3 linked regions of the Macaca fascicularis genome follow. The protein of the gene in region 3 purifies or fractionates together with the protein of the main gene of each other region. This does not show direct contact. Links are inferred from orthologs where the notes say so. Each region holds a gene or a part of one and is shown on either strand. Other genes may lie near its edges.

Evidence for each region. Proteins that work in one complex are often made in the same cells at the same time.
Region 1: the proteins of FGF11 (region 3) and AHCYL1 purify together in Homo sapiens (affinity purification with mass spectrometry; 3 studies listed by BioGRID and IntAct, with this or other methods). This does not show direct contact. The link is inferred for Macaca fascicularis from reciprocal best matches to the Homo sapiens genes FGF11 and AHCYL1.
Region 2: the proteins of FGF11 (region 3) and UBE2O purify together in Homo sapiens (affinity purification with mass spectrometry; 3 studies listed by BioGRID and IntAct, with this or other methods). This does not show direct contact. The link is inferred for Macaca fascicularis from reciprocal best matches to the Homo sapiens genes FGF11 and UBE2O.

What each region holds. Positions count from the first base shown.
Region 1 is NC_088375.1:124,301,820-124,305,319, forward strand, and holds part of AHCYL1 (S-adenosylhomocysteine hydrolase-like protein 1), read right to left. Parts: intron 3,078-3,500; coding exon 2,934-3,077; intron 1,927-2,933; coding exon 1,826-1,926; intron 1,390-1,825; coding exon 1,287-1,389; intron 1-1,286. UniProt on the Homo sapiens protein: Multifaceted cellular regulator which coordinates several essential cellular functions including regulation of epithelial HCO3(-) and fluid secretion, mRNA processing and DNA replication.
Region 2 is NC_088390.1:82,842,952-82,846,451, forward strand, and holds part of UBE2O ((E3-independent) E2 ubiquitin-conjugating enzyme), read right to left. Parts: intron 3,234-3,500; coding exon 3,124-3,233; intron 2,981-3,123; coding exon 2,830-2,980; intron 2,605-2,829; coding exon 2,132-2,604; intron 1,672-2,131; coding exon 1,517-1,671; intron 1,266-1,516; coding exon 1,153-1,265; intron 1,065-1,152; coding exon 936-1,064; intron 577-935; coding exon 484-576; intron 1-483. UniProt on the Homo sapiens protein: E2/E3 hybrid ubiquitin-protein ligase that displays both E2 and E3 ligase activities and mediates monoubiquitination of target proteins. Negatively regulates TRAF6-mediated NF-kappa-B activation independently of its E2 activity.
Region 3 is NC_088390.1:7,485,129-7,489,103, reverse strand, and holds the start of FGF11 (fibroblast growth factor 11), read right to left. Parts: upstream 2,801-3,975; 5' UTR 1,453-2,800; coding exon 1,260-1,452; intron 1-1,259. Other genes in the region: TMEM102 (transmembrane protein 102), read right to left, coding at 3,559-3,975.

The sequences.
Region 1 (3,500 bases), on a different chromosome or scaffold from region 3:
GGATTGTAGGTTTTTTGGGAACTTCCTAAATTTTTTGCAGTAAACACTTATCAGAAAAGAATAAACAAAAAACCCCAGAAGTATTATAAAGTTACTTTCTGAGGTTCTTAGAAAGATGAGAGGTCTGGCTGGGTGCAGTGTCTCACGCCTGTAATCCCAGCACTTTGGGAGGCCAAGGCAGGCAGATCAAACATCCAGGCTGGTCAGGAGTTCGAGACTAGCCTGGCCAACATGGTGAAACCCCATCTCTACTACAAATACAAAAATTAGCTGGGTGTGGTGGCGTGCATCTGCAATCCCAGCTACTCAGGAGGCTGAGGCACGATAATCACTTGAATCCAGGAGGCAGGGGTTGCAGTTAGCCGAGACTGCACCATTGCACTCCAGCCTGGGCAACAGAGTAAGGCTCCATCTTGATAAAGAGAAAGAGAAAGAGAAAGAGAAAGAGAAAGAGAAAGAGAAGAAAGAGAAGGGAAGAGAGAAAGATGAGAGGTCCTCAAAGAAACTTCATGGTGATTTTCTTCTGAACATTTGAATAATAAAAATTATTATTATTGTTATTAATTTTTGAGATGGAGTTTCACTCTGTCACCCAGGCTGCAGTGCAGTGGCATGATCTCGGATCACTGCAGTCTCTGCCTCCCGGGTTCAAGTGATTCTCCTACCTCAGCCTCCGGAGTAGCTGAAATTACAGGCGCACACCACCACTCCCGGCTAACTTTTGTATTTTTAGTAGAGGTGGGGTTTTACCATGTTGGCCAGGCTGGTCTTGAACTCCTGGCCTCAAGTGATCTGCCCGCCTCGGCCTCCCAAAGTGCTGGGATTACAGGCATGGGCCACCAGGCCTGGCCTGAATAATAAAAAATTATTTTGTTTAATTAAACTCATGAATAGCTCATATATTTTCAATGCCATACTGAATACCAAATTATTTAATGCACTATCAATATAAAAGGCACTTCCTACTTGTGCTCTCTCACAAAACTGATAGCACGTATATAGTTTAACATTCTTCCTCGTTCAACTAACACCAGAACTGTGCATGTCCCCATGCCATTAGATTATTTTCAAAGGTCATTTTTAATGACTACATAATATTCCATCATGGATATACATCTTAATTTTATTATCCACATTCTTCCTGTTGAGGTTTTCACCATCCCCAATTTTACAGCCTCTAGACATATATGACATTGTAATGACAATTTTGATACATAAAAGTTATATGTTTGGATAACTATTTTGGGGCAAATTTGGTAAAAAAAAAAAAAAAATACTGAACTTACCAGCTTCAGCCAGTGCTGCAGCTACTTCATTCTGAGTTGAGTAGATGTTACAAGCAGACCAGCGGCACTGAGCCCCCAGAGCACAGAGTGTCTCAATCAACACCTGTGTAGAGGTATAGGAAGACAGGGTGAGGAAGAGAAGGGCCACCCAGGAATGGAGAGCAAGCCTCAGCAAGATAACAATACCTATCAACTCTGCACCAACAGGCGCTACACTGGGAAGTTAGAAAGGGGTGTACTCCAGCGAGGTGGTGCACTGGTGTTTAACTTTACATAAAACGTAGGTTTCTAAAAGTCTTCATAACATTTTATAACAATCATATGTTTGCAAATCTAGACTTTCCTAGGTTAAGTTTGCTGAAAGTGGGTTTACACATACAAAAAACCCCCAGAAAACCCCACTATTGTGTAGCAGGGAGATCCTACTAATAGTTAGCATTTGGAGGTTGGTGAGTTAGGAAGGAAAAGTGAAACAAAAAAAAACATTGATTTCTTTCTTCCCCTTATCAGAAGTCCCTCTTTTCTTCCAACAAACTCACCGCTGTCTGGGCTGTGATGTGTGTACAGCCCACTATTTTAGCACCAGCCAAGGGCTTCTCCCCCTGAGCACGTTTCCTGAGTGAAATCAGAGCAGACATGTCTGTGAAAGAACAGAGGATTTGAGCTAGGTCTGCACTAGCAGTATCATCAGTTCCTGCCCCAGGGCTGGTCTGGATCTGTTGAGATACGGTGAGATGAGACAGAAAAACTTTAAGCCTATTTTCATGATGACTGGCAGCTTCAACAGCACAGTAATAGTGGAGAGCGGTCATGCAACCACTTGGAGTTTCTCTCTTCCTCTACTGCTTCAGCTTTATACACAGAGGACTGAACAGAGAATGAAGTAAATCCTTAAAACTGATCAAAATGAAGGGTAAATCTCATCATTCATTTGGGAAGAGAGGAAAGTAGTTAAGGCACTGGCTAACAGATCCCTATATATAAAATCATCAGACCAGAAAGACTGTACCCTCAGCTGAAATCACTAACTTCTGTTTTTCTATGCTGTCTTACCGTATCCTGTCAGTCTGTTTGGTTTCTCTATTCTCTTTCAGTAAAGAACATGCCTTCAATGTGTAAACAACACAAGAGTAAAGAGGACCTTACTGGGAGTGGTTGGGGTAGGGAAACCAAGATTCAACTGTTTGTCAGTCACTTTTACTCTGCTCCAGCAGAGGGTGCTCAGGACCAAACAAGACGCTAGGTCACCACATCCTTAGCTTAAAACCCTTCCTCATCAGCTGTTTCTGGGCAATCTGGGTCTCTGGCATTGGCAGCTATAGTAAGATCCCATATAACCAACTACCAAGTAGTGATCTAGGACTTGCCAATTCTGCCATGTAGATCTTTGAATACGGTGGTGGGGTGGGGCGGGGAGGAAAACAGAAACTACTCTGTGTGTCATCACCACATGCTGAGAACAGAAGGAAGAGAGAACAAGAATCCTGAGACTCAAGTTCCATAGAGAGAGAAGTGTGTATCCGGAAGTCCATAATACTTTCTTCCCAGTATACTTTCAAGTCAGCTTTCAAGTCTTAAGTTGTTTGTGGATTCTGATGGCCAACAAGAGGGTCGTTTCTCGTCCCCTAAACCACTCCCTTTCTTTACCTTGCTCTGCAATCTCAATCTCCCGGCGTCCAAATTCGGCCTGCTTGATGTTCTTCACACAGAAATTGCTGCTGCCCTTGGAGTTGGTTTGCTGCTTCTCTCGGGGAGAAACCTCATCATCAGAGCTATCTGTGTAGGATGCAGCTAGAGCCAGGAAAGAAAAAAACAAGGATAGAAAAACCTCAGTGGCCCCAACTCTACAGAGTGCAGTCCCCAAGGGACTTTCATTTAAGTCAAGGGAACACTCTTAATTGGAGTTACCTTTTATAACCCTCTCACTTCTGCTCCTCTAGGCTCTAATTGGTGGTATGAATGAAAATGTTGTGGATGCTTCCGTGTTGCAGCTCTTTCACCCACCCTAACAATATTATGCCATTAGTGCCTGTGATAAGGGACTACTGATTCTAAACCTGTACCAGCTATAGTAATCCCAGATAATAGAGGTACCTGGTCCCATCTGGATTGGAACTAGACCTGGCAAAAACAGAAGAACAATTTAGGGCAGATAAGGAACGGTATTTCTGTAGATTACTGGTTCTCAAATTCAAGCATCTGTCAGGATCACAT
Region 2 (3,500 bases), about 75 Mb from region 3:
GAGGAAAGCTGGGCTGTGTGGCTCCAACCAGGAGGCGAGGGAAGGAGAGCCCATGTAGCTCTTCTGCTCAGGACCCAGCAGCTGGGGTTAGAACTGCACCAGCTCCTTTCTCTCCTTCTCTGTTAGAGCTTTCTAGAAAAGGTGGTAGGAAAGTTTCCATCTCCTTTTAGGAGGGAACTTGCATTCTTCGCAGCACAGTGAGCTGACAATCCAGGAAAATCCTGGAGGTCTGTGAAAGTCTACATGCACCAGCGATGGATGGCCGGGAAGAGACTGCTGGGAGAAGCGAGGCTGGTGGGCCAACTGCGGGCTGCCCCCAACCCTGCACCAAGGGCTGTGTGGAATGCCTGCCTTGCCCCCTCATGCTTTTGCTGAGATCTCACCAGGAAGACCTGAGAGCCCATCTTCTGGCTACACGACTATGGTCCCCAGCCCAAGCTGCCATAGTCACAAGCCCAGTGGGGGGTCTTGCCAGAGCCTCACCTGGGGCAGGATGATGGTCTTTGAGTTGTCAGCCCACACCACCTCCACCTTGCTGCTGACGTCCACACGGGCCACCTGGCCCACCGATGGCTGCTGGGCAAAGGGGACAAAGTCAGGGGGTCCAGCTCAAGCTCCAGCTCCCCAGCCCCTCCTGTGCTCTGCAGTGACTGACATCATGCCCACCCAGCTCGTGATAAGAACTTAGCTCCTCTGGTAAACGTAACCAGCGGCAGCTGAAGAAGCCTGACCCCAGAAGCGAGGCAGGGAAACAAGTCCTTCTGCAGCTGCTAGGGCTGAGCAGCAGCTTGACTTTGGGGCAGCTGCCCTGGGGACACTGAGCCCAGAGGACTTTCAGGTCTTGTCTCCTAGAGCCACCTGGTGGCAGCATCAGGGACTGCAGCTGGTGCACAGGGCAGTGAGCAGCGATCCAGAACTTGAATTGGAAGGCACACCTCATCCTCCTTGTGAGGAGCCCCGTCCTCAGTATTGCCGATGCGGATGACGATGTCAGTTGTACGGAACCTAAAGTCAGGGTGGTCAGCAATGTCGTAAACACTCACGTCTTCCTCTTCTCCAATCAGCTGTGGCACAGGACAGGTTGTCATGAGCTACGGGTCCTACACCTAACCCCAGAGCCCACCTGAAGAAAGCAGTAGGGGCTGCACACACCTCCACGTCGTCCCCACTCGGCCGCAGCTTGAACCACTTCACCATGCAGGTGCGGCCGAGGTGGTCCCCAGACTGTACCACGCCGTAGACAGCAGGGTCTGGACAGCTCTGGACTAGGGAACCAGAGGAAGGGATGTGACTAGCTAAGGGATCCCGGCTAAGGAGCCGACATCTCAAGCCAGTGCAGGGTGCAAACTGTGACCTTCCCCCGTCTTGGAAGTGGTGAGACCCCTTCATGAGGGCAGTCCCCTTCTGGACCTCATTTTAGCTCTGACCCCAGATCCACTGCCCATTCTCCACAAGCCCCAACCTGGGCCCTCACTGGCAACCACCCTGCTGGCTGCCCTTCCAGAGCTGGCACTACCTCGCTTATCTACCACGAAGTCTCCGGGGCAGAACTCGTTGTTGTCCAGGTGGTGCACAGGAAAGAGGTCGTTGGAGCGGATGTTGCATTCCACAGAGCCATCCTGCCACATCACGTCAGCTGAGGTCATCGTGGTCACCACCTCCACTGCCACCCTGCCGGATGCAGGCCAGTCAGCAGGCCATGCAAACGCCACCCCCGCCCACGGAAAGGGCAGAGAATCTTTTTGTCCCTTCCTGTCCCTGTGGGCTTAGTAACCTGAAACTCCGAATCCCAAGTTGGCAGGATGAGTTTCTGGTGCACAGGAAGCTCACCCAGGGTTCCGAGGCCATGCACTCTCTTGAGAACGAGACCCACTTGGGAGAGCTCAGGCAAATGTGTTCCCAGAAGGCCAAGCTTAAGGCCACCACCATCCCACCCTCTGCACCACTCCTCAGTCTCCGCTTTCCACCAGGGCCTACCCCAGGCACCTACGCTGTCTCGGATGGGCGTCCCTGAGCCACTACAAGGCATGCAGAGGTGTGTGTGCGAGCACAGGCACGCACACCCAGGGGACGCGCACTCTGCCTGGCTTCACGCTGACGCCGCTGGGGAGGGGCACAACTCTGAGTTTACCTGTCCCCTGGCTTGAAATCTCGAGTGATTTTATTCTTCTTCCTCTTGTGTTTGCGCTTTAAGTTCTTGATGGACAAGGGGATGCTCTTTTTGCGACTCGTGCCACTGCCGCTCTGGGAGGAAGTGGTGGAGCTGGCAGAGGAGGTCACTGAGCTGGTGTCGTCCGTGTCGTCAGCAGCCTCATCATCTGCGTCCTGCTCTGCCGAGTGCAGCCTGTCATCTCTGCCTTCTTTTAGCAGGAATGGGGGCAGCTGCTCTCCTGCCTCGTGGGGCTCCTCTGCACCTTCGTCCTGCATCTCCACTGGACTGGCAGAGCCATCAGGCGTCTCCTCGGGACTGGCAGACTCTGCTTCACTCTTGGCTTTGGTTTCCCCCTTCTTGTCTGGGTCTTCCATGGAATGGTCCCGGGAACACTGGGTGTCTGGAGAGCACGACATGATCCGCACAACCTGCTTCTTCAACAGGCGCTTCACCTGCAAGGGCGGAGCAGAGAGGACAGGGCTGTGAGGTGCACCTGGGCAGGCCTGGCCCTAGGCATCTCAGGCTGGGGGGATGACAGTTGTATACACCTGAGTAGCCGGCAAGGGTCATCAGGGCTGCCCCCCAAGGCCTAAAGCACAGACTGTCCTTTTTGGCCATGGAAATGGCTCAAGGCCAGTTCCTCAAATGCCCACCAACCCCCAACCCCAAGGACATACCTTCTTGGCCATAGAGCCCTCCCCCTGGGCGCAGTTTTTTTCTGGACATTCCCAGGCAATCTTGGCTGGCTCTACCTTGGCTGGGAAGACATACAGACAGCGCTCCCCAAGCTGCCGCTGAGCATGGTCAAAGCATCCGAGACGCTTCACCCTGGTTGGGAAAGAAGCAGGGGTGAGCTGAGCTGGACTCCTGGGAGGCCAGCAGTGTTCTTGAGCCTCCCCGGGCATGTGGCCAGGGCCCAGAGGCCTGTTCCGCGCGTGCCCCTGGGTTGCTGGCAGTAAGGGCGTGCTCACCTGCCTAGGTTTTCCTGGGTGATGACAGAGGGTGGGGGGCTGACGCTGTCCGTGCCCCCTGGACAGAAACTTTTGGTAATCCATGTAACTTTCAACTCTACAACCTGCACCTGGGGATGGCAGGTGGGACACGCCAGTCAGGGCAGGCTCTGACAGCACTCTCTTTAGCCAGTTGCCCAAAGCCCACTCGACCTCCAGAGCAGGAAACTGATCTTCCTAGTGTAGCACCAAGTACAGACACATCAGAGCAGACCCCAACTGTAACCACGGCCCACACCCAATGCCCAGGACCCGTGTCACTGCTCACACCAGCCAGGGGCCACTGGAACTGCTACTTGCCACCCTCCCACCTTGCTCAGCCTGTACAGGCTGGGCTG
Region 3 (3,975 bases):
CAGCAGCAAATTGACCACAGGGTAGGGGCTCTCCCTCAGGGGTGGGGGTGGGACTGGGCCTGACGCTGACTCAGCACCTGCTGCGGCTGCCGCTAGCTTGGCGAGAGCCTTGCCTTGGCCCGGTGCCGGTCTGTCTGACACTGACCCGTCTGTCTGTCTGTCTGTCTGCTGGCTCGCGGGGGCCCAGCTCTCCCTGAGGCTCAGCCTCTCCCCTTCGGCCAGGTAACCCGCCTGGGGTAAGGGGGACATCACCAAGGATATGGGGGGTGGGAGCTGAGGAGATGGAAAGGCAGGCTGAGTCACGTGGGGGCCCGGTCCCACTCAGAGGGTGGGCTGCGGATTGTACCACTATGGGCAGCCGGTGGCGCGGGGAGGAGGGCGCGAGGGGGCTACCCTTAAGGGAGTTGGGAGCGGGCGGGAGCAGGGCCAGAGGGACTCCCTGACTGTCGCACCTGGACGGGGACCACACTCTAACTCTCAGAACTCTCCTCCCCCATCGCTTGCTCTCTGCCGACTTCCCTGTCCCCCCTTGTAGGTGGTACGACCCCCAAGAGTCTGCGCCGATCTCTAGCCGTGAACTGTGTCTGAGTTCCTCCCAGCGTAGGGTCCCCTGAGCCTACGGGACCCGATTTCGGAGTGGCGCGGGGGTTATGGGAGGGGGTGCCCAGCTCCGTTCTTGAAGCGCAGGTCACGGGAGGAGGGCGCATAGAGGGCTGGCTGGCGAGGTAGCTGCAAGGACACCCGAGGGAGAGCTGGGGAGATTGGCTCGGAGCCAGAAGAGCTCGACCAGGAGGAACCGAGCCCAGGCGTGGAGGAGCGGGAGAACCGGGGCGGGCAGGGGCTGGGGGGGCGTGCTGCTGGAGCTGCAGAAACCCTTGGGGTGACCCAGGCATCTGGAAACCCCCAGGCCTCTCCGCTCCAGATTGAAAGAATCGCGAGAACCGGCACGTAGGCGGAGGACGATGGGGGTGGGGACTGCTGTGTTGGGGAGGGGGGACAAGCAGGAACTGCGAGGCTTTCGGGGATACAGACTTAGCCCCTCAAGCCTTCCCCTTGACCTCGAAAATAAGGAGACTCCGGGTTATGGACTAAAGAGAAGGGAAACTGAGGCACAGTCTGGCAGGGACTTTGTAGTCCTGGCCCACCCCCTTCCACTTTCGAGGAGCCCCTCAGCCGGGCCCTATCCTTCAGAGTCCCTGGCCTCAATCTCCCAGGCAGAGAAACCTCTGGCCGGGAGACCCAGCCCCAGCCGCACTCACCCGGGCCGCGGTCCGGCCGCGCGGGCCGCCCCCCGCACAGTCGCACCTTGGACAGCAGGATGAGGAGCTGCTTCTGGCAAAGGGACTTGGTGCCGCGGGGACACACCCGCCGCTGTGCCGACACCGGCCGGCTGCCCCCGGGCTCGCGGACCTCCCGCTTCTGCCGGATCAGGCTACTGGCCAGCGCCGCCATGGCGCCCCGGGAGGAGACACCCCCAAACCGGCCAGCGCCAGGAGCGCGCTGGGCTCCAGCCCGCTCACTAGGGCATGCTCTTGACGCTCAGGCCCCGACTCGCTGCCCCACCCACAGGACCTGAGGATAAGCCCCAGAACCCCCCACCCCACGTACACCCCTCCACAGCAGCCAGTTGCCACCCGTGGGCCCAGTGCTGGCTCCACCGGATCCAGCAGCCTATGTACTCCTCAGTGGATCCCACCCTCGAGTTTTGCCTCCTACTGAAAACGTCCCCTTTCCCTCCTCTCTAGTGTCTGTCCCCACTTCACCTATCCCAAAACCAAGACCCCCCAAATTTCCAAGACGTGGTTAAAATATCTCCAGGCACCTTTCCACTGTATTTGGGGGCACACTTCTACCAAATCCACTCTTGTAATCTACAGGGTGTGAGACTTTAGCTTTGGGGATATTCGCTCATCCCACCCCTACTGGGGCACTGCCAATGTCAGGAAGGAACCCAACCTTGGTGTTTTTTCCTTTGCTACACTCTAAATGGAGGGGATCCCCCACTTTTTTCACTGAAATCTCCCCAAAATATGTCTCAGAGTATCCAGGTTGCCCAGATTCAGTAAGACGGGGCTCCCAGACCCTCTGGCTGGATAACAGCTTTTTCACCAAGTCACCCCCATGTCTAGTAGCATAGAATTCTAGCGGCCAAGACCGTTTCTTCACCTTCACACCCTCCGCTCCTTTTGAAGTCACCTCCAAATCCACCCTTCCTAGTGGATACACCACGTAGTTGTCTGGAGGGCCTTCCGCCACCTCAAAATGAGGAGCATCCGTGTTTGCTTTTTTTTTCTCCCCTGGCTGCCCCTTAAATTTTCTTGGGGACAGCTGGTGCTGTTTAGATCCCACGCCCTCCAATCTAACCAGCCCCCCGAGTGAGGAGTGCACCCACGTTGTCACCAGTCCCCAAATGTGAACAGGCCCCCTACAAGTCAGAGCGGATCACAGCTTCCTGCGACAGGGCTTCCTCGTCCTCCCCGGGATTGCCTATAGCACCCCCTCTTCCTTTCCCCGACGCCCCTCAACCTGTCCTGTCCTGTTGATCCGGCGACGGGTGGCGCTGGCTTCGGCTCCAGGCTCCTCCCTCCCTGTCCCCCGCAAACGGAGCTTCCCCCCACGCCCGGCTAGGCGTCCCGGACCCTGGGGAAGGAGTGAGGGTGTCTCTGCAGAGCTCCCCGGTCCGGCGAAGTCAGAGCACTGGGCCGGTGGCTGGACCAGGCAGAGCGGCGGCAGCGGCGGCAGCGGCAGCGGCTGTGGGAAGCTGAGGCGGCGGCGGCGGCGACAGCAGTTCCCCCTCCTCGGAGAGCCGGCCCGGGGGCGGGGCAGGGGGCGGAGACGCTGGGAAATAGGAGGGTGAAGCCGGGCAGGAGGAACCCCGGGGTTCCTTGGAGGTAGAGAGCGCGGACTGTGTCTTACAAGCAGGCAAAGCCGAGGCAAGGCCGCACGTCTCAGCCTTCAGAGAAGGAGGGACAAGAAGGCCTCCCGAACGCACCTCTGGATAGGAAGGAGAGGTTGGGCCCAAGGGAGATGGAATGGCGGACGCTGGGAGAATGGAAAGGGACCCTACTGGCCGGGATGTTAGCGAGGACAGAACAGCACGAGGAAAGTGGGGGAAGAACTGGAGAGATGGAGGAGGGGTAGTGGTGAGATCCAGCCTCGGGCGAAATCCGGCCTCCTTCATATCTCTGCCTTTGTGTGTGAGCCAAATTGATCAGACCCTGGTCTCCATAACTCCTTTCCGCGTTTGGTCAGCAAACATGTTTCTCCCATTTCTATTGACCCTTAAGAGAAATGACCAAAAGAACTGGGGACAGACGGTTTCTGGAAGCTGCCCCTGGGCGGAGTGCTGGCCACAGAAGTGTAGAGTAGCCAGGCTGGAATGGGGCAACTTGTGCCGGGGCAGGCGGGTGGTCCTAGAGGAGGAACCAACAGGGAGGCCTTCCAGAAGGGGGGCTTCAGGCCCAGGGCACACAGTCAGTCCCCCAGGCGAGGGGCGAGCTGTGCCCCCCACGTCTCGCTCGCCCACAGAGGCACTTTCCACTGGTAGGAACAGCATCTTTAATGGGCCCCGCCCCCCACGCCGGCCAAACCGCCCCCTTTGCGGGCCACCTTGGCCTCCTCCACCGCGGCACGGAGGGCCCGGGCAGGGTCCCCGCGGAGCCGGACCAATTCTCCGAGCAGCGCAGCGGAGCCGTCCCCGGTACGGAGCTCTCGGCCGTTCAGAAAATAGTGAGGCAAAGTCCCAGCCTCGAGCACTCGGCCCAGCTCGTCTAGCAGCCCGAGGCAGCAGGCGCCCGCATTTTCTGGCCGCGCCAGGTAGAGCGCGGGCAGCCGCTCGCACGCCCAGTACAGCAGCGTCCGCAGGAGGTAGGGCGCCGCTGCCCGGGTCCCGGCCACCAGCGGGCGCAGTAGCGCCTGGGCCGCCGCGTGCGCCTGTAGCAGCGGCGCTGGTATGCGCGCTTTGAGCGCCAGCTC